Rattus norvegicus: one gene and its partners. The protein of the gene in region 3 interacts with the protein of the main gene of each other region in a pairwise test. Links are inferred from orthologs where the notes say so. Each region holds a gene or a part of one and is shown on either strand. Other genes may lie near its edges. The genes, in order: Trim54, Mipol1, Fam161a, Card9, Ccdc57, Cep63 and Golga2.

Region 1 (4,155 bases), on a different chromosome or scaffold from region 3:
TCAAAACTTTTTTTTTCTTTTTCTTTATGTGTGTCTGTGTGAGCATCTGCATGCATGTGTCCGTGTAAATGTCTATGTGCACGTGTCTGTGAGCCCATGAAGGGCGCTGAGTCTCTTGGAGTTACTATTACAGATGGGTATGAGTGCTGGGATTTGAACTCCAGTCCTCATGATTGAACAGCAGGCTCTCCCGGTCACTGAGGCATCACCAGTCTATGCTTGTTTCAGGTTTAAGCAAATTTAGCATCCTTGCAATGGACTAATGTAGTTGTGGACCAGAATCACACGCTCTCACGTCATAATCCTAAGGCAGGTCTGGGCCTGGTACAGCAGCCACCTCTTGCCTTTGAGCTGCTCTCCTAGGATGATGCCACAAGGGCGAGCCAAGGGCTGGTGACGTAGCCCAGTTAGCAGAATGCTTCTCCAGCATGCTTGAGACCCCGAGTTGACCCCCAGCACCACATAAATGGGGATAATGGTGCTTTCCCCTCAACCCAGCACATCGGATGTAGAGGCAAGAGGATCAGGAGTTCAAGGTCATCCATGGCGAGAATGAGTTCAAAGCTAGCCTGTCCTACTCAAGAACCTGTCTTTAATAAGGGAGAAGGAAGAGATTGTTCTCTGGGGAAAGCCACTTGTCACCAGTTCTGAGGACCTGAGTTGGATTTCTGGCACATGCTGCAGAAAAAGAATTTTCTTTTGTCCTGTGACTTCCACTTGTGCTCCAGGTTGCACCCACCATTCCCCCTAAGTAAATAAGTGTAGGGTTGCTTTTTTATATAAAGGCTGGGCAAGAACAAATACGGGGCAGACATATGGAACAAGATGTTCTCTCTCTCTCTCTCTGGTCTGCCGTTCCACTTCTGAATCATGGAGGAGGGCCGGGTCACTGGCTAAGCCTGTAGAGGAAGCGATGACGCAGTCTACAGGTCTGTCCAGGTCTTGCCCCCCACCTGGGCCCAGGTATGGCACCTCTCCCACAGGCTAGTTTACACTGCGTTTCTGTTTGGAAGAAGGTCCCAAGCCAGAGCACGGAGACCAGTGTTCGGAGGAGCCTTTTCAGTGACAGCGATAGAGCCCCACACGCCACTGGCCACCCATTCCTGACAGTCATGGCCACTCAGTCTGGGACAGCTGTGTCTCGCCTTACATGAGCTAAATTGGGAACTGGAATGTCACAGCGGTGCCCCTGTGTCCCCACCCCCACAGTAACATTAGTCTCTCTCGGGAGGAACAAACAGTGCTGCCCGCAGAGCGAGCAAGAGGGTGGTTTGGGGAGACAGGAGGAGAATCTCACAGGGAGAGAGAGATAAACTACAAGTGCCTGGTGAGGGTTCCGAGCAGACAGAGTGTCTGGAAATAGCCCAGGGAGAGAGGAGCTGTTAGAGGAAGGGACAGGAAGCACCGCTCTTTCCAGAGGGAGCAATATCAGGGATCCCAAGAATCTACAGTCAGCCTAAACTGACAGCGGAAGGGCGCGCAGGCAGGGGGAGAGAAGGCCAGCAACAGGGCCACAGCAAGGCACCAGAGCACCGCGGGATGAACTTCACGGTGGGTTTCAAGCCGCTGCTGGGGGATGCACACAACATGGACAACCTGGAGAAGCAGCTCATCTGCCCCATCTGCCTGGAGATGTTCTCCAAGCCCGTGGTGATCTTGCCGTGCCAACACAACCTGTGCCGCAAGTGTGCCAACGACGTCTTCCAGGTGGGCTGGGACAGGTGGGGGACGGTGGGGGACAGGTGGGGGTCGGTGGGGGACAGGTGGGGGACAGGTGGGGGATGGTGGGGGACAGGTGGGGGTCGGTGGGGGACAGGTGGGGGACAGGTGGGGGACAAGTGGGGGATGGTGGGGGACGGTGGGGGACGGTGGGAGTCGGTGGGGGACAGGTGGGGGACAGGTGGGGGATGGTGGGGGACAGGTGGGGGGTGGTGGGGGACAGGTGGGGGATGGTGGGGGACAGGTGGGGGATGGTGGGGGACAGGTGGGGGATGGTGGGGGTCGGTGGGGGACGGTGGGGGACAGGTGGGGGACAGGTGGCGGATGGTGGGGGAGAGCCCACCCCTGGGAGCCGGTGAAACTGCCCTGGCTGAGAGGCAGGAGAGTTGAGGGTCCCAGAGTAAGGTCCCAGAGTAAGGTCCCAGAGTCAGCATGAGTCAGCAGCTACCCTGAGGCTGGTAAGCATAACCTGTGTCTACAGCAACTAGAAAGTGGGGTCCACCCAGCACAGCAGAAACTGGAAAGGAAGATCGATGGTCTCGCATGGGCTTAGTGGGAGCTTGGACTAGATTTCATTCATTTTGAGGCTTTTATATGTATATGTATATACATATACATATACAAACACACACACATATGAGAGAGAGAGATAAATTTTTTTAAACAAACTCTGGAGAAAAGATCAAGGATATATTGAGATCTTTCTCTCTCTCTCTCTCTCTCTCTCTCTCTCTGTGTGTGTGTGTGTGTGTGTGTGTGTGTGTGTGTTAGCTAGTGTGGCTACCAGACCTCAACTTGAGTTTGATTCCCAAAACATAAATGATGGAAAGAGAGAACTGACTCACAAAAGTTGACCTCTGACCTTCACTTATATGAACACAGACAGACAGGCGCACACACACACACACACACACACACACACACACACACTTTAAACAATAACCTGGTGTGGTGGTGTATGTATGCCTGTAATTCGAGCACTTGGGAGGCTAAAACAAGGGGATTGTCATTGTTTGGTTTTGTTTCTGAGTCAGGGTCTCTGTAACCCTGGCGGCTGTCCTGAAGCTCACTATTCAAACCGGGCTGACCTTGAACTCACAGAAGATCCTCTTGCCTCTGCCTCTCTCGTACTGGGATTAGAGACATCGCTGCCATGCTAGCAAGTGTCACCTTATTTACATAGTGAATTCTGATCCAACTTGGGCAACAAAACAAGACCGTTTCAAAAAGTAAATAAGAAAGAGAAAACTAAAATTAAAAATTGTTGGGGCTGGGGATTTAGCTCAGTGGTAGAGCGCTTACCTAGCAAGCACAAGGCCCTGGGTTCAGTCCCCAGCTCCGAAAAAAAGAACCAAAAAAAAAAAAAAAAATTGTTGGTAAACCGGTGAGAAATCCTTCCATACCAACAGAACTGTGTGTATTTGAGGCAGAGCCCTCTGTCCCTGAGGGGTCTGATAAGACACAGTGGGCCACAGCAGGAACATTCTCTCCAGTTTCACACCGGTGATCCTTCCTGACCTAGTAGGAGATAAATGGTATCCAGGCGACTTACAGACAGACAGACAGACAGACAGACAGACGGCAGAAACAAAATTGTACTTCCCAGAAATGCCTGGGTGTCTGTGGTCATGAGGCCAAGCATAACTAGGTGAAGTCACAGCACTATTTTATCTACACATCTCCAACGCAAAAACAGAAGAGCTGAGCACGGCTGCAAACCCAGCCCTTGGGAGGTTAAGGCTGGCTTGGGCTGCATAAGACGCTGTCTAGCCAACTAACTAACCAACTAACTAACTAACCAACTAACTAACTAACCAACTAACTAATCAACTAACTAACCAACCAACCAACTAACCAACCAACTGACTAACTAACTAACCAACTAACTAACCAACTGACTGACTAACTAACCAACTAACTAACTAACCAACTAACTAAATAAATAAACCAGAGTCCTTTATAAGTTCCTAGGCTTGCCTCCTGGCTCTGTGTCTTGGTAGAGGTCTGAGTAGTTTATGACTGCATCAGAGGTCAGGGAGAATGAAGGAACAGAACTCACATGTACAGACACCGGACCTCACAGATGAAGTAACCTGGATTCCTCAGAGCTGGCTCTCCTGGTGGGCAATCTGTGATGGGAACACCAGGAATACACTTCTTGCCAGGAGCCAGCCTGGGATCCAGCGAGGAAGGAGCACCACAGGCTGGAGGCTAGCCTGCTCTATGTAGCAAGTATACCTGTATACCTGTAGAGTAAGACCCGTCTCAAAAGAGGAAAAGATAACTGTCTGGGGCTGAAGAGAGGACTCGGTGGTCAAGAGCATTTGTTGCTCTCCCAACCAACCCAAGTCCAGTTCCCAGCATCCACGTGGTGGCTCGCAACCATCTGTAACTCCAGTTCCAGGGGCTCTGATGCCCCCTTCTGACCCCCATGGA
Region 2 (3,500 bases), on a different chromosome or scaffold from region 3:
GTTTTGGCTCCTTTATCAAAGATCAAGTGACCATAGGTGTGTGGGTTCATTTCTGGGTCTTCAATACTATTTCACTGGTCTATCTGCCTTCTTTTTACCAATACCATATATATATTTATCACTATTGCTCTGTAATACTGCCAAGCCTACTTTTTACAGGTGGAGAATTATTTCTTCTAGACTTAATAAAGTACATAAAAGTTGCAATCAATAGTTGTGTCTTTTAATTTTAGTAATAATGATTTCCTCCCAAACTTTATTATGCCATGAAATATATTTTATCTCTTTAAAATAAATATTGCTTAGTGTATACAACTTAAATAATTTTGTGATTATAATTAGGCATACAAAGTAGATTTAATAATGTATTGTATTTTTTGATGACATTGAGGTTAAAGTAATTCCATTCATTTTAATATTATAATGATGTTTACTGAAATAAATCATCTTTACTGATATCAGGCACTTCTTTAAGTCAGTGATATTTTTTATTTACATTTTATAGACAGAAAGTGATATGTTAAATATCTTGTACATCATTATACACTTATTAAGGCTGTAATTTTTTCTACAGACAGGGCAAATCACAGTTACATTGCATAGTACTGATTCACTATTATCATTTTCTTATACTTACTACTTTGAGTATATGTTTAAATTAATGGTCGTCTCCATTAACTGTAATCATTTAGGCAATGTAAAACATAGAAGCTGATCCACTTCCAGAAGCTTTTGTTGAGTTAGCACAGGTGTGGCCTTCTCTGCCCCATTTTAGAAACTCAGGTAGCAGTGTAGAGCCTGACTTGTAAGCTATTACTCTAAACAGAGGTTTTCAACCTTCTGTGATTGAATGTTGTTACAGGGGTCGCATATCAGCTACCCTGCGTAACAGATATTTACATTACAAGTTATAATCATAGCAAAATTGCAGCTATAAATTTACAACAAAATAATTTTATGGTTGGGTGACCACAACATGAGGGACTGCATAAAGGGTCACAGCATTAGGAAGGTTGCGAACCACTGATGTAAATGTCTTCTGCTCACGGACATAGGAATGCCGACGACAAATGCTGCACTCCACACACTTCGTCTGCAGAGTGATCCCAGTGACTGTGTTCAAGTCCATGAGGTTCTTTTCCTAAGCATGGTCATCTGACTCAACCATCTTCCTATCTGCCTGTGTCCTTTCATATATCACGTGTCATTTGTTTAATGCAGATATGACCTTTGTCTTGTACAACTGACCTCTGTGGGAAGTGCGGACGCACCAGCAGATGAGCAGCTGACTATGAGTTCAGAGCAGAACATGCACGAGTTAGGCAATGAAGTCACATCTCAGGACCTTGTATTACCAGGAAGAAAATCCAGCAATTGTCAGGTCCTCCGTCCTTGTCCAGATGAAGTTCTATCTGCAACGTGCAGGTGCGTGTTGGTTTCAGTGTTTCATCGAAAAAGTAAGAATTGAAATAGCACTCTTCCCTTAATACGTTTTCTCTCTTCTTCATTTTGGAGTCTAATAAATTTAATGTGTTAGTGACTTAAAAACAATTTCAGCATGAAGGGGAGAGGGGTATGGGAGAAGAACTCTGAGAGGGCGAACTAGGAGACGGAGAAACAGTTGGGATGTAAAGAAATTAAATAATTAATTAATAAAAAAATTTCTGTTCTCTGTAAGGGCTTCAATTACTTTCATGATGTTGATATAATGTATCTAGATAGCTGAGAGAAAGCACAAAATGAGTTTAAAGAAAGTAATGAAATTTTATTTTTTTTTTATTTTATTTTTTTTTAAACTTGAGTATTTCTTATTTACATTTCGAGTGTTATTCCCTTTCCCGGTTTACGGGCCAACATCTCCCTAACCCCTCCCCCTCCCCTTCTCCATGGGTGTTCCCCTCCCCATCCTCCCCCCATTGCCGCCCTCCCCCTAACAATCTAGTTCACTGGGGGTTCAGTCTTAGCAGGACCCAGGGCTTCCCCTTCCTCTGGTGCTCTTACTAGGATATTCATTGCTACCTATGAGGTCAGAGTCCAGGGTCAGTCCATGTATAGTCTTTAGGTAGTGGCTTAGTCCCTGGAAGCTCTGGTTGCTTGGCATTGTTGTACATATGGGGTCTCGAGCCCCTTCAAGCTCTTCCAGTTCTTTCTCTGATTCCTTCAATAGGGGACCTATTCTCAGTTCAGTGGTTTGCTGCTGGCATTCGCCTCTGTATTTGCTGTATTCTGGCTGTATCTCTCAGGAGAGATCTACATCCGGCTCCTGTCAGTCTGCACTTCTTTGCTTCATCCATCTTGTCTAATTGGGTGGCTGTATATGTATGGGCCACATGTGGGGCAGGCTCTGAATGGGTGTTCCTTCTGTGTCTGTTTTAATCTTTGCCTCTCTATTCCCTGCCAAGTGTATTCTTGTTCCCCTTTTAAAGAAGGAGTGAAGCATTCACATTTTGATCATCCGTCTTGAGTTTCACTATGACTTTATTATATAAGGATACTTGTGTGAAACTGATATAAATGATATGTTATTCACCAAAGCTCAAATCTGGTCAAAGGTGTTTATTTTTTCATCGCCATGTTCTTGGTTTTGGGTAATTTGAATACTTTTAGAGTGATCCTGTACTCTGTCTACCTTTTTTTTTATTCTACATTCTGTGGCTTTAAGTCATACTCTGTAAAGAAATTTGAGTCTATGATACCTGTGTTTATTATGAATGAGATTATGCTGCTTTGTTTATTAATTATGTGCTGTAAAGGTAACACTAGATTTTTAAAATGACAACATAATTCTGATTTTTGTGTTTCCTCACATACTATTTTAAAGTTTTGTAGGGTTGCTTTTCTCTTCAAAATTGTTCAGATACATTCACTGCTATCAATACACAGTAAAATCAGTAACTGTATTGGTGTTCTTCTCTCTTAGTGTCAGATTCTTACCAAAGTACAATTGGTAGTATATGTTTGGTATAGAGGATGGTGGGAGAATGGATAAACATTTTTATAATCATACAAGAAACATAAATGGTAGAGCTCATGTTGTGTTCCTTCCATGAGCTCTGTGGTATAATTCAGTATGAGAGCATGAGAGCCCTATACTCGCTGCCTGTCCCAAGGGCTCAGTGCCAAAGACCGGCTTAAGTAACACACCCATCAGTGCTTACATACTTAACACTTCGACACCAGAAACAACCCATCTTTTTCTCATTTCTTCTCTATACTACCTGCTTACAGGTCGATGTTGTTGTCAGCTGTCTTGTGGAATGTATTTACTATTAACTCCTTGGGGAATAGATATTAATTTTAATGTCTTTCAGTTAATAATGAAAATATGAAGATGATACTGTTTTCATAAAATTGGGAAAATTGTTGTTTCCATTTTCAGAAAAGCAAAAAATACATGTTTTTCCCAAACAGAACTATAAATCAAAACATTTATAGCTTTTATAGCCTCTAATCTGATCTCTTGTTAGGTATACTGAACCAGATCTAGTCAGACTGAACCA
Region 3 (4,118 bases):
TCAGATCTGCCCATTTCTGTTCCCCTCCCTCTTTTTAGCTGTTACTCGATGTCTGCAAATTTAGAATACTGTCGGTCGAAACTTTCCTATTCTCTGTACTGAAGGACACTGATGTCCTTCATACCCATTATTTACTATTTCATGATCCTAAAACCATCAGCTTACAGGGCTTCAGTCTGTAGACAGGTCTTGTTTTTGAGTTGGCTTACACCAAATCCCGTCACAGAACTAGCTGTCATTCCGACGGCTATGGATCCCTCCCCACCTCTAGCTTTTCAGAACCAACCAGTACCCATCAGTTCCTGCAAGAGGCAAGCTCAGCCAAACCAGAGGAGGCAGGGAAGGTGAGGTGATGGAGACCTCGCAGGGGCGAGCAAGGAAGGGCTGGTAGCAACTGCGTCAGAAACAGGTTCAGTGGAAGGCGAGCCGCATAATGTGGAAACTACTGGAACCTTATGGTGGGGACAGGGGCGCTACTTCTAAGTAGTGTTACGTTGCAGGTGGCTGAGACTTCACTGAAAGACCATCCGAAGCGGCCAAAAACCTAAGATCGATCAGGAGGCTGGTGGGGTTGAGCTGGGAGGGTGTGGTCCCTGTGGGTTCTCCCCCTCCAAGCCTGCGGCTAAGCTAGCTGCAGAACCCCAAGACAAGCTACCCCATCACTCACTGGTCCGAGTGACAGGCATTTCCTATGTCTAGCGTCTTACTGGTCAGTCGAGAAACAGGAGGGCGGGACAAATAAGTATTCTCCCTCTGATTGGTCAACTCGTGAAATTCTTGTCAATTAGAGATGAACTGCGTTCTCCGCCATGTTGAATAGCACGCTGCATAGCCTGTCCTTTTCTTGGGCTGGTCACCCAACGCCCGTTCTTTCCTGTTCCTCTGTGCTCTAATATGTTGATCCAGTTAATAAAAACGCGCTTTCTGCGTATACCGCGAGAAGTCCTCGTTCAGATAGAACGAAATAAAGCTAGAAACCAGAGAAAAGCTCAGTCCCTAGCTGCGGATCTGGGTGTCATTCAAGAGAATCAGTAATAGTCCCGGTGCTGATGAGATTCCATTGAGCAAACTCTCTTGAAGACTGCGTTTTACTTTAGCTTACTGTGGTAGTCATTAGTGTAGATTCGGATAGTTATGCTTCTAGAATGCCCCGTTAAACCGCAGGATTGTATCAGAAACCATCATTAGACGTTAGCTGGACTCGGGGCTCGCATTTGTGACAGTGAGAAAGGACGTTGCCTGCGTTACGGTCCTTCGCCACCTCCTGTAGCGTCCCTAGTAACCGTGCCCCTAGTAACCGCTCTCCCCAGCCAGGATCTGCGAGCGAGGCGGCGGCGCCAGCTCACCCGCCCCGGGCCGGCGCGGGCGCTCGGGCTCGGAGGCGGGGCGGTGGCTTCGCCGCACTAGGCTATCAGACTGGCTGCTGCCAACCTCCACCTGCCCGCAAATCCCATCACAGGAGCAAGGGCCTCCCAGTACGAACGCGAAGACCCCTTATAGTTCTTGGTAGCAGCGGCGTTGGCGGCGGCCGTGGAAGAGAAACAGAAGAAAAGGATGTGGCAGATACGGGCGTCGGTAATGTGGGAGCCCGGCGGGGTCTGGGGGCTGTCCGGGTCCTCACCAGCAGGGACGGGTGGAAATGCGGTGTCCTCTGCAGACCCTTCCTGCTCTCTGCTCCAACTAAAGACTAATGCAAAACTTTCTTGGAGAGCATTTTTATAGCTATTTCTAGAGTGTGCACAGAACAGAATTCTACTTATTTATTCTCCAGCATATCTTGAGAATAAATATTCTTCAGTTTTTTAAATTTTTTTCTATTTTTAATTTTTGTTTTTTCCCTTGAGGAAAACTGATGTGCCTATCTATAGTTTTCATAAAACCTCAGATGATAAGTTGGACTGACAAGTGTATTTTATCGGTTTTGGTTAGTAGTGGATTTTAGCAGTCCTTTAGGAAAGCCTGTTTGAAGTTCAGTGGACAGATGCTCCATAGATATAGAGAAACATCCAGATAAATCCCCGAAATCCCAAAGTTTACTAAAGGGGCCATACGGGTGCAGTGAGGTCTTCTCGCAAAACATTTTCAGTATTATGTCCTGGATGCATTTCTAGCAGGAGGGCACAGTCTTCCTCTATCCTCTCTACTTCTTTTCCATATACATATGGATTATGGTTTATTTATTTTATACATATGAGTACACTGTCGCAGTCTTCAGACACACCAGAGGAGGGCATCAGATCCCATTACAGATAGTTGTGAGCCACCATGTGGTTGCTGGGAATTGAACTCAGGAACTTGGAAGGGCAACCAGGGCTCTATCCGTTCTATTCATTTCATTTGTTTGTTTTTAGATTTATGTGTATGAATGTGCGCAGTGTGAGTTCCTGGGAGTTCCTGACGGTTGTGATGGGGGCTGGGAATCAAGCCTAGGTGCTCTGCAAGAGCAGCAAGTGCTCTTAAGCCATTGCAGCATCCTTTTTAGTTTGTCTCTTGAGACATAGCCATGGCTGTCCTGGAACTCAAACTCACAGAGCTCTGCCTGCCTCTGCCTCCTGAGTGCTTGGTTTAAAGGTGCATAGTAAAATGCCCAACTTTTATTCACTTAAAAAGTCTAGCACTCTGCTGGTGTAAAGCACCAGGAAGGAGCATGTCTGTGTGTGTGTGTGTGTGTGTGTGCACGTGCACATGTGTGTATGTGTCCCCACCCCAACCCCTGCCACTTGGTTTCTTAGCAGTGCTGGGGGTGGGATGAAGGGTTTGTGCTTTAGGCAAGTGCTGTACTAACAGCTACAAACTTGGTTTTTGTTTTATTTTAGACAGGGTCTCCTTTGGTTCAGGATTGCCTCAAATTTGCTGTTAAAATCCTGACCCTCCTGCCTCCATCTTCCCAATACTGGGATTCAGGCACCGTGGCTGGCCTGTATCAGCTCTTTCAAGGTTATGTAAAGTAGACAGAGGCCCAAACCACCAGAATCCTAGGACTGGTTTATACCTGATAAGGCTGCCATTCAACACAATCTATCAAAGGTTACAGAAGGCAGAATGCTGGAATGGAGGGAAGGAGTTGGATTCTGGATCAGAAGCCATTGTCTGCTACTCGCTGGGTGATTATAGGACATGACTTCTGTTTCTCTGTCTGTAAAAGGACTATAATCGCCCCCATCTTCTGTTAATAAGAACCAGAGGAGAGAATGGGTGTCATTTCTAGAGAGTTTACATAAATTCGTAATTATAACTGCCAGCTTGAACAATTCACTTGGAAACTGACATATACTCTGGCAGAAAGGTCTGTCCTTTGTATAGTTGTGCTTAGGTTCCAAAGTGCCCTGCTCACTGAAGATTTGTGTTATAAGTGGAGTTTGGGTTTCCAACACCCACATACACACCTGGTGTGTTGGCTTTTGTGTATAATCCCAGTGCTTCGGGAGGAGGAAACAGGCAGATTCCTGGAATTTGCCGAAAGCCCCATCTCAAAAGATAAGATGGACTAGGGAACTCACCCGAGATCGGATGTTCCTGCAACTGATGCTCACCCCTGCACAGGCTGGGAAACTCCTTCTGCTCTCCTTTCCCCAGCCCCGCCCACCTGGGAGAAAACTCAGGCTAACACATCATCACTCCTCTCCGAATTCCAGACAACCTGCCCAAGAGTGCCTCCCCGGGGGCTCAGATTCTGACCACACGTGCACACCAACCATCCCAGCTCCTAGCTAGCAGATCTTCACTCCTCACAAAGCTCTGTAAAACCCCCTTGCTTTAGCCTGGATGTGACGTCACCGACCTCCACCTGTGAGATCGATGAACCCACCCAAGAGCTGCCCCCTAATAAACCTGCCTTTATCCACTTCTAATCCGGTCTAATCCAGCCTGTATCTGTGTCACCGAGGGGAGAAAAAGTCTGTCATTGACCTCTGGTGCACACACACACACACACAGGCACATACACACAGGCACACAGAGACAGAGAGAACCTCAACATTTAATAGAGACATCAAAAGAGATTAAGGATTAGCCACCATAGTAGGAGGCCTGGAACAAGGCCCAGAGGGTCCCACATTCACTGAGAGAAGCAGTGAGGTGAGAAGTCAAGTGCTTCACATCAGTTCCCTAAAAATGAA
Region 4 (2,998 bases), on a different chromosome or scaffold from region 3:
CCTGTATCCAGCCCAAAACGAGAGAAAAGGGACAATCCAGTTTAAGAGCCACATGGGAGATGAGTGTGAGGTCAGGTGGAGGTTGAAGGACAGGGAGAGGCCCACTCTGTGTCCATACTCACCTCCTGGGAGTTCCTGGGGGAACTGTCTTCCAAGTCAGAGCTCTGTGGCCACAGAAAAGGGAGTTGGTCAGTGGGCGGTAGGGGCTCCAAGCACCTGGGCATGGGGCATGTAGGGCAAGATAAGAGCCCCCTCCAAGCTCCATCCTCTAGGGCAGCCCTGCACATATCTCTAGATATGCCCAGATATGTCTTTCTTAACACTACACTGCCAAGCCACCAGGTGACTCCCGGGGCAAGGCCACTGTCCTTGGAGTGGTGTGACTGACTGGGCCTTGGGTTATATTTATGGCTGTCACTTCACCATGAAGAGCTCTAAAGAGGAAAAATGGGATTCAGGAAGGCCAGGCATCTTCTGAGATCACAAGCAGAGCACCAGCCATTCCAGGCTAGGCCTGGGGATGCTTCTGGGCTGCATGGTCCCTCAGGAATCTTGCCTTGACCCCGCATTCTCCCCAGCTCCCGAATCGCCCAGACTGCCCTAGCTACAGCAGACACAGAGACCTACCAGGATGAGCATGTCCAATTGCTGCTGCTTGAGTCTGCCCTCAGCGGCCAGTAATCGGCTCTCGGTCTGGAACAGCTGCAGCTGCAACTCGTCGGCCTTCTCATCCAGTTCTCGAACCTGCTTTCGCAGCTTATCTTTGTCCTGAAAGCTTTGGGCACACTGTGCATGCAGCTCTTCCCTTGAGGTCATAGCCTGTAGGAATGGCCAAGGCCACACCCTCAGCAAGGGACCTTGGCTCTCATTTGGCAGTATAGGTCTTGGCCCCTACCAGAGGTCCTGGCGGGACATCAACCACCCTGCTGTGCTGCTGGAGTTGCTGAACTGGAGGGATTCTCAAAGCATTGGGGCTCGAAGTACAAGTGAACAAACACTGGGTGGAATAGGGCAGGCCCAGAACCTTAGCACTTGGGAGGCAGAAGCAGAATCAATAGTTCAATGCCATATCTGGAGGCAAGATTGGGTTGCATGAGACTTCGTCTCAGAAACAAAACAAAACAAAACAAAACAAAAAACACTGCAAAGAAACAGCCAAAAACCTCTGTGATTAACACACAAGTCAGTTCCTAGGAAGCCCAACTGAGAAGTCCTACATTCCCAGCAGACAGTGTGTGTGTGTGTGTGTGTGTGTGTGTGTGTGTGTGTTTCCGTCCCTCCTATGGGACATATTTTATAAATTCTGGATGTTGCTTGACATCAAAAGCAGGATCCATGGCTGTCCTTAAATGAACACAATGTGTGTTTTTTCTTTCTTATCCCAGGCTGGCCTCATATATACTAGGTAGCTGAGGATGGCCTTGAGTTTATGATTCTCTTGTCTTTACCCCTAAATGCTGGAACCGGCATGTACTACTAAACATGGCTTTTTGAGACAGGGTCTCACATTGGGCCCCAAACTGGCTTGGAACTCACTGTAAATCAGGCTGCCCTTAAATTCACAGTAATTATTTTGTCTCAACCTGCAAGTGCTGGGATTACAGGTGTGAGTGAGTCACCACTGCCCCTACCCGGGAACCACCACCAGCTCTTGTACCAAATGCTCCCCACCCCCAACCTATGCATCTGGCAGCTTCCTCTCCCCTACTGAAGTCTCCCTCCCACCTATCCCTCCCTATCCAGCACCGGGACTGCAGTGTTCTCCTGCTACATAAGCTCTTCCTTTGAGTAAGGTTAGACCTGACTGCATTTGTACGAGCAGCCCCAGGTTCTATCTTTCAACACTGCCAAGTTACCTTGAGCATAAATAAATAAAAAAAATGCTTTGGCCGCAGCAGCTCCAAAGGCTGCCACACCAATACCCCAGCACTGCTTGTTCTCAGTTTCTGAATGCAAGTGTGGCACCCACCTGGTCCCGCTCAATGGAGACTTCCTCCATCTGCTGCAGGATAGCCTCGATCCGGTCCTTGTACATCTTGGCATCCTTGCGCAAGGCCAGGCACTGCAGCTCGAACATCTCCTTTTCCTCCATGCACTACAGGAAGCACCGCTCAGCCTCACTCCCTCCCCTACCCGAGCTGGACAGACAACAGCCCCAGAGCACACAAGACCAGGCTGGCTGGGGTAATGAGGAAGACACTGGAGTCCCAGTCCACAGTAGGCTAACCTAAGCCCAAAGGGTGACCTTAGCTGTGGACACACCACCGTGTACTAGGAATTGATAAAGGGGAGACAGTGAGCTGTCCCAGACCCCACCATCCAGGATCCCAGTGGGCATTGCTTGCCTGCCCTGGCCTCTTACCCGGGTCCGGAGGGCCTCAGCCTGGCGGAGGTCCTTTCGTAGGGAGAAGATGGTGCTGGCCTGCTCCTGGTGTTCCTGCAGTGCCTGACGCCAGTCCTCCTCCAGCACCTGGATGTATGGGCTATTCCTGTGTAGCTTACCCTCCTGGAGGTGGCAGGGAACAATAAGCCTGGCTGAGGAGGCCCACAGTGCCACAGCCACTGCAGTTGTACCATCTGGTGTGCCCAGCTTCAAGCCCATGCAGATGCGAGGCCTGGTGTGCACCGGTGGTATTCCTACCTGCACGGAGACCTCCAGCTCCTGCACCCGGGCCTGCAACAAGTCCCTCTCCTGCTGCAGGTCCCACAGCAGCTCCTGGCTAGGCCGCTGCTCCATGGCGTGCCGGAGCTTCAGTGTGTGTTTGCGCTCCACCTTGCAGTCATCCTCTGCCTTCATGAGGCTGTGCCTGAGCTGGTCCACCTGCGGGTGGTCCAGTCAGCCACAGCCTCCTCCTGACCACCCCGCTGCCTGTGGAGTGAGCCATCACCTCAAGCTGCAGGTCACGGTTCCGCATGAGTGCTGCTCCCTTCTCTTCACTCAGGTGAGCCAGGCGCATGGCCAGGTCGTAGTTCTCATCCTTGCAGCGCTTCAGCTCGG
Region 5 (3,500 bases), on a different chromosome or scaffold from region 3:
AGTCCCCACTGGCTCCCCTTCTAGGCATACCAAGAGTTGGCATGCTTTTATCTGCAGGGGCCTGCTACCCAAGCATGCCCCATCAGCCTGCCTGCTGGCTACTTCTCCCACATCTGGCCCTCAGTCACGTAGGTCACTGCTCTACACAAACACTCAACAGTTTCCCATGGTGCCAGAGTCTGTAAGGCCCTGAAAGCCCAGCTCCACCGAGGACATTCCTCCTCTGAACTCGAACTCTAGCTTCTAGGTATCCCTGAGCACATAGGTGGGTTCTTGTCTTCCTCCTGCTGAACTCTCTTCTGCGCCCCCACCAATGTCTATGGACCTTCTCGCCCTCTCACCGTACTTGAGTCCAACCACACCCACTCCTGTTTCATCACGTCCACAGGTAGTGAACTGTCCCAAGGTGTTCTCCGCTCGGTGAGGGCAAGCATGACAGGCATGACAGGTATCCGTGCGCAACCCCGGGCCTGAAGAGCTACCAGCCTGTAGCATACGTTCAGAAACACTTCTGAAAGGAGTGAGTAAATCTCCTCCAGCGTCTTGTGAACCTGTGACGACCAACAGGAAAAAGGGTTTCTCTGGTTCACAGTACGTGGTGAGGTTAAGCAGACCAGTCAGTTACTAGCCGTCAGCTTGTTTAAATTTATAAGAGAAAAATCATTATTTCATGAATCCACTCTATTTACAAAGGTGACCGACACGTGAGACTCTGGCCCAACAACAGAAGGCAGGGCCTTGAGGAATACTGCGTTTACACAACTCTCTCCTGACCACCACCCAGAAGGCCAACACTGCTCCAAGCCACATCAGGCTGCTCTAGGCAGACTGCCCTGGGCCGCCTCGGGCTGGCTATTCCAGCCTCTATGGGGGGAGACCTCTCCCTAGCCTCCTGCAGCAGAGCTGGCATAGTAGCATGTCAAGGTTTCTTGAGTCCAGAGATGGGGATGCCGCCTGAATGACGGAGCCAAAGTTCCCTTGGACACCCAAGTGCATTCCACTGAGTCTGAGCAAACCAACCTCTCAGCAGCCTTTTCCAGCTAAAGACTCTCTTGAGACTCCTTTGGCGACTGTGGCGCCACCGCAGGGGAGTCGTTTCTTAGTTGCTGAGTTGTTTTTGGTGGTTGTTGCTAACTTTTTAGACAGGTTCTCATTTTTTTTTTTTTTTTGGTTCTTTTTTTTCGGAGCTGGGGACCGAACCCAGGGCCTTGCGCTTCCTAGGTAAGCGCTCTACCACTGAGCTAAATCCCCAGCCCCGACAGGTTCTCATTTTGTAGGCCAAGTTATCCTTAAACTCATGGTGATTCTCCTGCCTCTGCCTTCCAGGTATTAAGATTACTTGCTACCTTGAACCACCATATCTGGTATAATTAATCTTTTCTTGACTACATATTTCCAGGATCTGGCTCAATGGGCAAGACTCCTGTCTGTTTTGGAAGTCAAACCTGTTGTTGGTTGATTAAACAACGTCAGACCCAGGTAGGTGCCCTGACAGGTAAAGCTAGATAGGAACAGCAGGGGTGACAGAGACCTCGGGTGACAGGCAGGGTGAGCAGGAGAGAGAAAGAGTTCTTGGGAGGTGGGCTTCATTGAGAAGCTCATTTAATTAGGGGAACAAAGGCTATTTATTTGAACCTTTGGCGGTGAGAAAGGGCTATGGGATGAGTGAGGTCACTGGCCAGGGCCAGGGTACTGGAGATGCCTTATTTGCATAGGGAGGAGTCCCAAGTGCTAGCTGAACTTGACCTTATAAGGAGAGAGGAAGTTTAACCTGGATCCCAGCCACCAGGCTAGGTGACTCCCTCAAAAGTCACAGGGGTGGGAGCATGGGTCTACGTATGCTAGGACATGCAGGCCTAGAGCAGGTTTATAAGAGGTTCCATCTTGAGAACTGCTCTTCTCAGTGTGTCAGATCCTCTGGAACTAGAGTAACAGATAATTGTGAGCTGCCATGTGGGTGCTGGGAATTGAACCCAGGTCCTCTGGAAGAGCAGCCAGTGCCCTTAACTGGTGAGCCATCTCTCCAGCCCCTAGAAGTACATATTCTTATGCTTGGTACAGCTACTGACCTGATAGATGTCTGTTCCTTTGCCCATAAGGCCCAGTAGTAGTAGGCCTGCTTTTGGCTGCCAAGGCTGAAATGTATCTGTACTGTCCTACCTGAGGCTTCTATTGGCCCCAGACCCCATTCTGCAGTTTAGCTCACAGGGATATTGACCTTTCCACATGAGGACACGGCACTGGTCTGTTACACTGTTCTGCTTGATTCTGTTACTGTGATAAATTGCTCCATCAAAAACAACGTGGGGAAAGAAGGGTTCACTCAGTAAGAGGTTATAGCCCATCATCAAGAGAAGCCAATGCAGGAAGAGAAGCAGAGGCCATGGAGAAATGCTGCTTGTTGGCTTGCTCCCCCTGGACTGTTCTTTCTTCTGCAGCCCAGGATCACCTGTCGAGGGTTGGCACTGCCCACAGTGAGCTGGGGCCCTTCTACATCAATTAGCAATCAGTTAGCAATAAAAGCAATTCTCAGTCAAGGTTCTCTCTTCCAAGGCCTCTCAGGTCAATAACCAGAATGAGTCTCACACTGATGGCAGTGAAGATGGCAGAGGACACCGTGAACTTAGTGGTGACAGACTTGCATGTCAGTGGTTGGGACGTAGAACCTGACTAAAATGCAGCGGCCCCTATCTCTAGAATCCAAGTTCCTGGTCTGGCACCTGCCACAGCCAAAAAGCAGGAGACCCGACGACGGGCCTCTTCAGACTTTGGAGGCAACGCACACCTTACTTGGATGCCACTGAGCAGTCCCAAACACTACCTGGGTTACTAATAAAGTGGGGAACATGGCTACCTTCAAAAAGGCGTCAAGTGTTTGCCTTTTCTCCCCTCTCCACTTGTTTTTTGAGGTAGGGTCTTGCTGTAGACCTGGCTATCCTGGAACTGAGATCCCCCTGTGTCTGCCTCCTGAGTGCTGGGATTAAAGGTGAGAGCCACTATGCCTGGCAGTATGAATGGGACCTAAGATGCGAGAGAGCTCTCTAGTAGGTCAAGGACAAGGCTGCTATGCTTTGTCACTTGGGTCATATGACACGACTCCATGGTGCCTGAGGTGGCAGAAGCTTCAACATCATCCACAGATAACCAGGTCTCTAGGCTGGGGATGCAACTCAATTGCTTAGGATGTGCGAAGTTCTGGATTTCACCCCCAACACTGGGGAAAAATAAAAGGACGAACCCTCTCCTTTTCTGTTTGTTTGTTTTGTTTTGCTTGGTTTTTGTTTGTTTAGATGGTTAGTTTGGTTTTTTAGAGATGGCATCTCATTGTGTACCTCTGGCTGCCCTGGAACTCACTATGTAGACCAGGCTGGCCTCAAAATCAAACATCTGTCTGCTGCCTCTGCCTCCCAAGAGATCAGATTAAAGGCCTGTGCCACCATGCCTCAATGGTTTGGCTTTTGTTATTTTATCATTTTTTTTCCTCTCCCAGAGCTGAAGAC
Region 6 (4,228 bases), on a different chromosome or scaffold from region 3:
ATGTCCTGAGTTCAATTCCCAGCAACCACATGGTGGCTCACAACCATCTGCCCTCTTCTGGTGTGTCTGAAGACAACTACGATATACTCACCTAAAATAAATAATCCTTTTTAAAAAAAAATTGTTATATGTTCAAACAATTTAAACACATTAAAGTCTATTGGTTTGTTGGTTTGTTGGTTTGTTTTTAAGGTAACGCCCTTGGGTTACTTTTGGAGGTTGCTAAACTACAGATTTAAACACATTCAAGTTTATCTGTTTTAAGGTAGAGCCCTTGGGTTACCTTTGGAGGTTGCTAGGCCACCAATTCATTGCTGTAGTCTGAAAGGAAAGGAACAGAGTTAAGCATTTTCTTGCTATTCCTGGATAAGCTGTATTCAGGATAGTCAGATAAGAGTGCACTGGGCGCATGACCGTGGCTGTCCTGCAGTAACAGACCTGGGCACTATTAGCCATGTTAAATCTCTCTATTGACCAAAGGGCTCCTGGGCAATTTCATGGTGGATCAACTGAGCAGACAGCATAGGAACCACTACATACACAGCTTAATCTCAACATCCCAAGTGGGATGACTCAGACATTACAAGTCTCCCTGATAATGAATGCAACCGATAATTTTCATAATATAAAGCCTATAACTATTACGTTTTTCTTATACCTCCAATCAAAAATCAAGGTTGAATCTAACACTATTTCAAAAGATCATTGTATTTCAACAGAACTTTCTGTAATTATGGAAACATTTTATCTGTATTGATCAAACAGTAGCCACTAGGCAACCTGTGAACGCTGGGTATATCAAATGTGGCTAACGCAATTGAGGAACCAAACTTTTATTTCATTTAAAATATCAGGACTGGCTGATGACTGCCACACTGGACAGTGTAATTCAAGATTTAGCCAGTGGAGGAGAGGTCATAGAAGAGTAGAGGAACATAGTCAAAAATATATACAATCAGTTAAATCTGAATGATAAATGGAGGTAAGAAAATGCTATAGATTAGAGGGCTTTAAAGGCCTAGCAATCGAAGGCAACAGACAGTTCTCTGCAGGAAATCTGGTCCAAGCACAGTATTTCAATTTCAAGCACATATGGAGTAGCTGAAAAACCCTGAACCCATTGGATATTGATATTGTGTATTTGTTATAAATTTGTACTGATATAAAGATAGCACCGTGATTTTGTAAAACTTAAAAAAGCAAATCTAGCCTTTGGCATGGAGAGTACCTTAACTATGTTAGCTATGATAGTGTGGACTAATGCTGTCACCATCAGCCACTACACAGGACAGGAAGGCCTAAGGAACTGTCCCCTACCTCCCCACAGGAGGAAACAGCATCAGCAGATACACATTCTAAAGGGACATGCATCTGTTTATAAATCTCTAACCCATTTTAGTTTGACAACCTCCTTAACTGATCGCTGAGGACGGCACAGTGAAAGACAAGAAGCAGGGACAAAAATTACCTAAAAATGGCGCTGCATTCCAATGAATGAATATAATTCATGAATGAAACGAAGATAATTCGTTTCATCGTATCACTAAGCTACAGCCTTTAAGAGTAGGTGTAAATAGTTAGATAATTAAAGCCATTGATCTTTGACTTACAAAATATAAATACAAAATAAATGCAAATGTTCGAAGAATTGTACAAAGAGCACCTACCCTGCTTTAATAAAGTAATACATTTTAAAACTCTAAATTGGCCTCAAGAAAGAGAACTCAAAAAGCCAGGCGAGGTGGTGCAGATCCTTAACTAGCAGGCAGAGGTAGGTCCATCTACAATGAGGCCAGCCTGGTCGACCAGAGCAACAAAGGAGAGCCGGTGCTAGTTGGAGAGAAAGGGGATCGCTTTGAGCAATAAGTGTACAGTTTATAAATGAAAACTCTGTAACCCCACGATTCTGTGAAGTACAAAAGCCCTTTCCAATCAATCCATTCACGGTCAAGTGTCTCCGCGTAAAGCGTTGTTATCGAACTGCTCTTTCAAAACTTTCACTCGACTTGAAAGCGTTCCGCAATTCGCCTGCATCAGGGGTTCCCGCACCTTTCCTACGAACATTACGAGGGAACCCTGCGGACTTCACGCTGAGTGGCTAATGCTAAGGCCTGGTCCTACACCCGTAGCAGCAGGGTTCCTCCCCGGGAGCGAAGCAACCCGCCCTCCCGCTGGCCGTAGCACCTGGCCGGTCAGCTCAGAGCCCCATAGGGAGGAGACGGAGGAACCCAGGGACGCAGCGGCCGGACAGCAGTGGGCGTGCAGTGGAGGCCCCCGCGGTAGGTGGGCCGCAACGAACTGCGGCCCCGGGCCATGCGGCCAGAAGGTTAGCGGCACCACGGTGGCCAGGGCCGCAAACGCACAACAAGCCGCAGCTCGCCCGTCTTAGGGGCATGCGGTCGGTTACGGAGCGCGCCCCCGGCAGAGCGCGCCCCGGGGCCTGCCCGCCGTTCCTCTGACCGGGAACGCGCGCACGTCACAATAAATCGACGTTCGTCCCGCCCCCTACAGCAGCGAATGGACTCACCTACATACGGGGTATGAGAGCGCCGTGCGTCACGTGACCCGGAAGAAGGGCGGGGCCCGGAGGAAGCCGACGCGCGCTCTGTGGGTAAGGGTTTTTCGCGCCCGCCGCCCGGGTTTCTGAGAGTAGCCAAGCGTTCGCCCTCGACTTCAGAGTCGTTCAGCGCTTCCAGAAGCGCAGGCCGGTACTCTCAACCGACCTTCAGAGCCACTTCTTTACTGCACGCTGTGCGGAGTGGAACGGAGCACCCATGGCGACGCTCGACCTCCCCCTTGCACTTCCGCACGTAGTAGCTCCAGCACTCGAACCGGAAACGGCTGCAGCGGGTGGTTCTGCGTCTAGTGACCCAAGATGGTGGCCTGCGAAGGCCAATTTTAGTATCGGCCCCCGTGCTTTTAGCTTAGAAATACATTTACAAAGCTGTGATTGTGAAAATACATAAAACGTGAGTATGTCTCATAGGACGTACGCATCTAATATCTAGAAAGAGATGTCTGGACAAAAAAACTCCTGTTGTCACATATTGTGCTCAGAGATCAAGACAATCTGAGAGCTGAGAATTTATCTGGAGGACCGGGCATAGTAAGAGAAGAGTACAAAAAGTTTAAGAAACCTAGAGAGGTTATGCTGTGTCGTAAGGGTTTGGGGCATTGCCTGTGCTTGCTTTTCCCAGGGGGAGCACCCGATCACCTGACCCAGGAAAATAGATGTAGACTTCAAAGCCCTGCCGCGGTTCCTGTTGTTTAGAAGGACGAGCAAGCATAACTGATGAAGTACAGTGGGTGGGTAAAAAGCAAGCCGGTTTGTAGGCATGTGGGAGAGGGTCGTGTTAAAAAACATTGAGGCCGGGCTCAGGGAGTTAAAAAATCATGAGGCCAGGCTCAGAGAGATGGCTCAGGGGTTAAAAACACTGTCTACTCTTCTAGAGGTCCTGAGTTCAATTCCCAGCAACCACATGGTGGCTCACAACCATCTGTAATGAGATCTGGTGCCCTCTTCTGGTCTGCAGGCATACATGCAGGCAGAGAGCTGTATGATATATACATAATAAATAATTAAAAAACAAACAAACAAACATTGAGGCCAGCTTGTTGAAAGATTGGGAATCACCGCATTACCACTGGAGACAGTAGGACTCTGCCAGTCAATCACAAAGCTGACCTAACTTGTTTCATAGATCATTTAATGTGAGCAACAAAGCATTCAAGGACAAAGAGCCTGCTAAAAAACTGGAAGGAAGTCAGAACACTTTAGAAAAGGATGCAGTCTGTATAGGACTGGGAAAATCAGTACAGGAAAGAATGAAATGTAGCCCAAGACACAGCTATAAAAACAAAAGATTGACAGGAAAGGGGAGGAAACTTGTCAAGCCCTAGAGGAGTGACTAGAAGTGGCTCTTCAGCTAGCTTTGCATTATCCACTAGCTAGGGTCTGGTTAAGTCTGAGGAAAACTGCTAAGCCATCACCTGGTTTTCACTCAGCAGGAGGAGCTGACCACCTTTGGCTTCAGTGTTTGTATGCGGGTGTGTGGTGTGTCTGTGTGCATGAGCAGACAAAAAAGGTGTGGTTTCTGCCTACAGGTGGAGTCGTAGATGAGTGTAGAGGTCAGAGGTCAACGTCTGTGTCTTCCTTTATTACTTTGAATCTTAAACTAAACCTGGAACTTTCTGATTCAACTAGACTGCCTGGCAGCCTCCCGGAGGA
Region 7 (3,500 bases), on a different chromosome or scaffold from region 3:
GAACCATGCTGCATGCTCTATGCTCTGGCTGCCTCCAGCTAAGACGGAAGCCCCTAGGTTTTCCATTCCCCCTTGGTCCCAGGGGCCCCCTAGTCCCTTTCTTCAGAGCCCAAAGGGGAAACTGGAGCCCAGGACTGGCAGCAAGAATCAGGGACCCCGCTGACTCTTACCAATTCCTCTATCGTGCTACTGAGTTGTTTGTTTGTTACATAGCTGGAGTCCAGGGCTACTGCTAGCTCTTGGTACCGGCTCTGAGGCGCATGCAGAGAGGAGGAGTTGAGGAAGGATGGGGGAAAGGGAGAAAGAGCATCATTAGGGGTGGGGGTGGTGGGCTGTCTCAGCTGGCAGCGGGCACCCAGGTCCCTGTAGGAGGAGATAGGTGGTTGGCGTAAAGGGTTGCTCGGCCATGATTCAAGGCCACTTACCTCCAGTTCCTTCATGTTGGAAGACGTGAGGCCCTCCCCGTTGATGTAGGATGTAGACTAGGAGAGACAATACCTCTCATGGAGATGCTCTGTGACCCTCACTGTCTAATCCCTGCAGCCTCCTATTCCCCCTCAACTAGCAGAGTCTGCTTTCCTGTTCACTCACACCCTCTTGTGCCACTCCTCATGGCCCCTAAACCCCCATGGCTCAACCCCGCTGCTCAACAGCTGTCACCTCGAACTTTCCACACCAGGATAAACAGGATAAAATCACATTGCCCATCGAGGTCCAAATCCAGGTCTTCTCCAAGCATGACAAGAGCCGCTCGGGAATCCCTGCCTCGTTTTCTACTGTGCCTTCCTTTCCTCTCTACCTTCTCTCTGGACCCCAGTCCTGTGGTACCTCAGACACAAGGCCATTGAGCTGTTGAGAAAGTTGTCGCAGACTCTCAGTCGATGAGAAAGTCCTAAGGGAGGAGACATAAGATCAGGGGTGCAGGTAGTTTGATGGAAACAGGGCTCATGGGCAGAGGCCTGCCCTGACTCCCTCAGTAGGGAACACTTACTTGGTCTCCTCCATGAGGTTAGAGCAATTGCCAGCATCGTGGCTCTGTGTGGGTAGAAAGAAACAAGGTAACATTATTCAGCTTCTGCTTACTGTCACACAGGGACACCATGAGCCAAATTCATCTCAACACCCATCTTCCCAAGCCTTCCCCAGCTTGGCCTCCCCATGCCAGGCTCCCGGAGCAGCACCTGGACCAAGCTATCTGAAGAGAGAAAGAGTTCAAAGAACTTTGGGAGTCCTTCAGGAAGCAGACAGGAGAGTGTCAGGCAAAGTGAAGAAAAGACAAACCTGAATGAGATCAGCATCGGGGGAAGGGACGACACCAAGAAACATAGTGGCAGCAGCAGTACTTGGTGGTGCAGGAGCAGTGTGGTCTGTGGGCACCTGTCATAGAACAGAGCAGGATGGTTAGAAGACCATGCAGGAGAGAAGGGCCTCAATGCCACGGACACGAGGTGATGGGGCAAGCAGGGTAGCACAGCGGCAGGCACAGGACAGTTGCACATGCTGGGAGCTACTGGGGTACAGACAAGACATGCCCAGGTCTCAGGCTACTTAGTAGCATTCTGAAGGGCCAGAGCTCAAAGCAGGGGCTGCAGGGGCTCCTTCCTGAATACACAAGGACCTAGTTCCCTATGGAGCTCTGACCTGTGGCAGCCACAGCAGGTAGACAAAGTGCCAAGTGCAGGAGGCAGAGAGCTAACGGCCCCTGACTATAGGTCTTGCTCCTGGGATGGACTCATCATCAGGGTCAACATAACCATTCTCCCTCTCCTCTTGCTTTCCTGCCTTCCCTCCTCCCAGACCCATGCACTGGCTGTGTTTGTCGATTCAGAAACAACTGAGTAAAGTAGAGAACAATGGCTGCCCTTTGGCTTGAAGTATCTAGAAGATCATGTAAGCTTCCTAGGAAAAGCAGCCAGGGACCAATCCTAGGATTTCCTATATGGCAGCTTGTAGAAGTCTCCCCACTTCCCTGGCAGGAACTATCTGCTTGACCAGCTGTACCCAGCTCCTCCTCAGGCTCAGGCCTCACTTGTTTGTTTTATTTTCTGAGACAGGGGCTCACTATGTAGCCCTTGCTGTCCTGGAACTCACCCTGTAGACCAGGAAGGCCTTGCACTCACAGAGCTGTGCCTGCCTTTGCCTCCCAGGTGCTAGATTAAAGGTGTGCGCACACCCCTAGGCCTGGTAGTTCAGGCCTCACTCTTAGACTATGTCTCTGGCTTAGAGGTCTTCTCAGGTCCAACAATCCAAATAGGCAAAGGATGGGAAGACAAAAGGAGAGGGACAAAAATTCCAGGCCTATCCAGCAAGGCTGCTCTGGGAGGAAGTGGCCATTCCTTTCTCCAAAGAAATGGCTGCTTGCTTTCTGAAGCCTTCAGTCTCAGCCTCTGGAGATGCTAACCAAATTTCCTCCTTTGAGTAAGTGAGAAAGGACGTCTGAGAACTCAAGTGTGAACTTCATTCTCTTCAGGTTTACTGTGACTAACGTCCCTGTAACACATGTGACTGTCAGTTCTGAATCACACTTAGGTGTTGCCTTGACAATGTCTACAGTTGAGTCTAACAGGTAAGACCAGGGACTCAGTGGCAGCTGGCCACACCTGAGATAGTCTGGAGGTGTGACATTCCCAGCAACAGACCCTTCTAGGCTTTGGGTCCCTTGTAGCATCTTAGTAACACACATCTCTAAGCCTGGCAACATTCACAGAGGCACAAAATAGATAAAAATATTTGTCTGAGTACCTTTTGGTTTTTGTCTTAGGTTTTGAAACAGGGTCTCTCTGAAGTTCATGCTTGCCTCAAACTTGCTATAGAGCCCAGGCTGACCTCAAACTAGAGACCTCCTTTCTGCCTCTGCCTCCCAAAAGCAGGGATTATAAAGATGGGACACCACGCACTGTTGGGAGACTTTCAATTGCTTTGTGAGGAACCATGTAACTCCCCAATTTTAAGTCTTAGAGCTAAGCATGGAGTGCTTACAAAGTTTTCACTCTCCTCAAAATACCCCATCCCATCAGAAACTATTTTTATTTTTCCATAACTTCCTGTTTTATTTCTACTCAGAAGATGCCAATTTCCTTTATCCCTGGAGTAGAAAGTCAGTTATGGTTCAAGAAAGTTTTCATAAACACATGAAAAGTCTTCACTTCCTGAACAGAGGGGCTAGGTGCTCTGGTCAGTATTTCCCAAAGGGGAAACTGAAGCCCCAGCTCTGTGTGACTGACTCCTTAGCACAACAAATGCCAACTCTGTGCCCCCAACTCCCACACGCACAATGTGCCACGTCTGAGCTGAGCACGGAGGCACAGCACCTGAGCCGACCACACCTGGCAGGATCAGCTCTGTTGGCTGAAAACAGCCCAATGCCAGCCTGCGAGTCCTCACCCCGCCCATCCTCAGCCCCACAGGATGTGGCCTTGGCTCAGGCCACCCCTTCAGTTGGACAGAAGCCTGCTCCTTTTGTTTGGTGGATGTCCCCTAACATGTTAACTGAAGAACTA

What was found.
Region 1: the proteins of Fam161a (region 3) and Trim54 interact in binary tests that used the Homo sapiens proteins (3 or more experiments, as listed by UniProt). The two-hybrid records come from large-scale screens. The link is inferred for Rattus norvegicus from reciprocal best matches to the Homo sapiens genes FAM161A and TRIM54.
Region 2: the proteins of Fam161a (region 3) and Mipol1 interact in binary tests that used the Homo sapiens proteins (3 or more experiments, as listed by UniProt). The two-hybrid records come from large-scale screens. The link is inferred for Rattus norvegicus from reciprocal best matches to the Homo sapiens genes FAM161A and MIPOL1.
Region 4: the proteins of Fam161a (region 3) and Card9 interact in binary tests that used the Homo sapiens proteins (3 or more experiments, as listed by UniProt). The two-hybrid records come from large-scale screens. The link is inferred for Rattus norvegicus from reciprocal best matches to the Homo sapiens genes FAM161A and CARD9.
Region 5: the proteins of Fam161a (region 3) and Ccdc57 interact in binary tests that used the Homo sapiens proteins (3 or more experiments, as listed by UniProt). The two-hybrid records come from large-scale screens. The link is inferred for Rattus norvegicus from reciprocal best matches to the Homo sapiens genes FAM161A and CCDC57.
Region 6: the proteins of Fam161a (region 3) and Cep63 interact in binary tests that used the Homo sapiens proteins (3 or more experiments, as listed by UniProt). The two-hybrid records come from large-scale screens. The link is inferred for Rattus norvegicus from reciprocal best matches to the Homo sapiens genes FAM161A and CEP63.
Region 7: the proteins of Fam161a (region 3) and Golga2 interact in binary tests that used the Homo sapiens proteins (3 or more experiments, as listed by UniProt). The two-hybrid records come from large-scale screens. The link is inferred for Rattus norvegicus from reciprocal best matches to the Homo sapiens genes FAM161A and GOLGA2.

The regions. Positions count from the first base shown.
Region 1 is NC_086024.1:30,975,676-30,979,830, reverse strand, and holds the start of Trim54 (tripartite motif-containing protein 54), read left to right. Parts: upstream 1-1,355; 5' UTR 1,356-1,539; coding exon 1,540-1,707; intron 1,708-4,155. UniProt on the Homo sapiens protein: May bind and stabilize microtubules during myotubes formation.
Region 2 is NC_086024.1:80,577,330-80,580,829, forward strand, and holds part of Mipol1 (mirror-image polydactyly gene 1 protein), read left to right. Parts: intron 1-1,221; 5' UTR 1,222-1,291; coding exon 1,292-1,425; intron 1,426-3,500.
Region 3 is NC_086032.1:101,209,376-101,213,493, forward strand, and holds the start of Fam161a (protein FAM161A), read left to right. Parts: upstream 1-1,318; 5' UTR 1,319-1,554; coding exon 1,555-1,575; intron 1,576-3,961; exon of another isoform or gene 3,962-4,118. UniProt on the Homo sapiens protein: Involved in ciliogenesis.
Region 4 is NC_086021.1:29,572,405-29,575,402, forward strand, and holds part of Card9 (caspase recruitment domain-containing protein 9), read right to left. Parts: coding exon 2,889-2,998; intron 2,822-2,888; coding exon 2,642-2,821; intron 2,507-2,641; coding exon 2,363-2,506; intron 2,096-2,362; coding exon 1,970-2,095; intron 820-1,969; coding exon 628-819; intron 217-627; exon of another isoform or gene 165-216; coding exon 123-164; intron 1-122. UniProt on the Homo sapiens protein: Adapter protein that plays a key role in innate immune response against fungi by forming signaling complexes downstream of C-type lectin receptors.
Region 5 is NC_086028.1:106,674,227-106,677,726, forward strand, and holds part of Ccdc57 (coiled-coil domain-containing protein 57), read right to left. Parts: exon of another isoform or gene 552-3,500; coding exon 342-551; intron 1-341. UniProt on the Homo sapiens protein: Pleiotropic regulator of centriole duplication, mitosis, and ciliogenesis. Critical interface between centrosome and microtubule-mediated cellular processes. Centriole duplication protein required for recruitment of CEP63, CEP152, and PLK4 to the centrosome.
Region 6 is NC_086026.1:112,081,847-112,086,074, forward strand, and holds the start of Cep63 (centrosomal protein of 63 kDa), read right to left. Parts: upstream 2,801-4,228; 5' UTR 2,528-2,800; intron 2,416-2,527; exon of another isoform or gene 2,185-2,415; intron 1,817-2,184; exon of another isoform or gene 1,668-1,816; intron 322-1,667; exon of another isoform or gene 313-321; coding exon of another isoform or gene 284-312; intron 1-283. UniProt on the Homo sapiens protein: Required for normal spindle assembly.
Region 7 is NC_086021.1:35,988,283-35,991,782, reverse strand, and holds part of Golga2 (golgin subfamily A member 2), read right to left. Parts: intron 1,378-3,500; coding exon 1,282-1,377; intron 1,036-1,281; coding exon 992-1,035; intron 893-991; coding exon 829-892; intron 483-828; coding exon 426-482; intron 252-425; coding exon 171-251; intron 1-170. UniProt on the Homo sapiens protein: Peripheral membrane component of the cis-Golgi stack that acts as a membrane skeleton that maintains the structure of the Golgi apparatus, and as a vesicle thether that facilitates vesicle fusion to the Golgi membrane.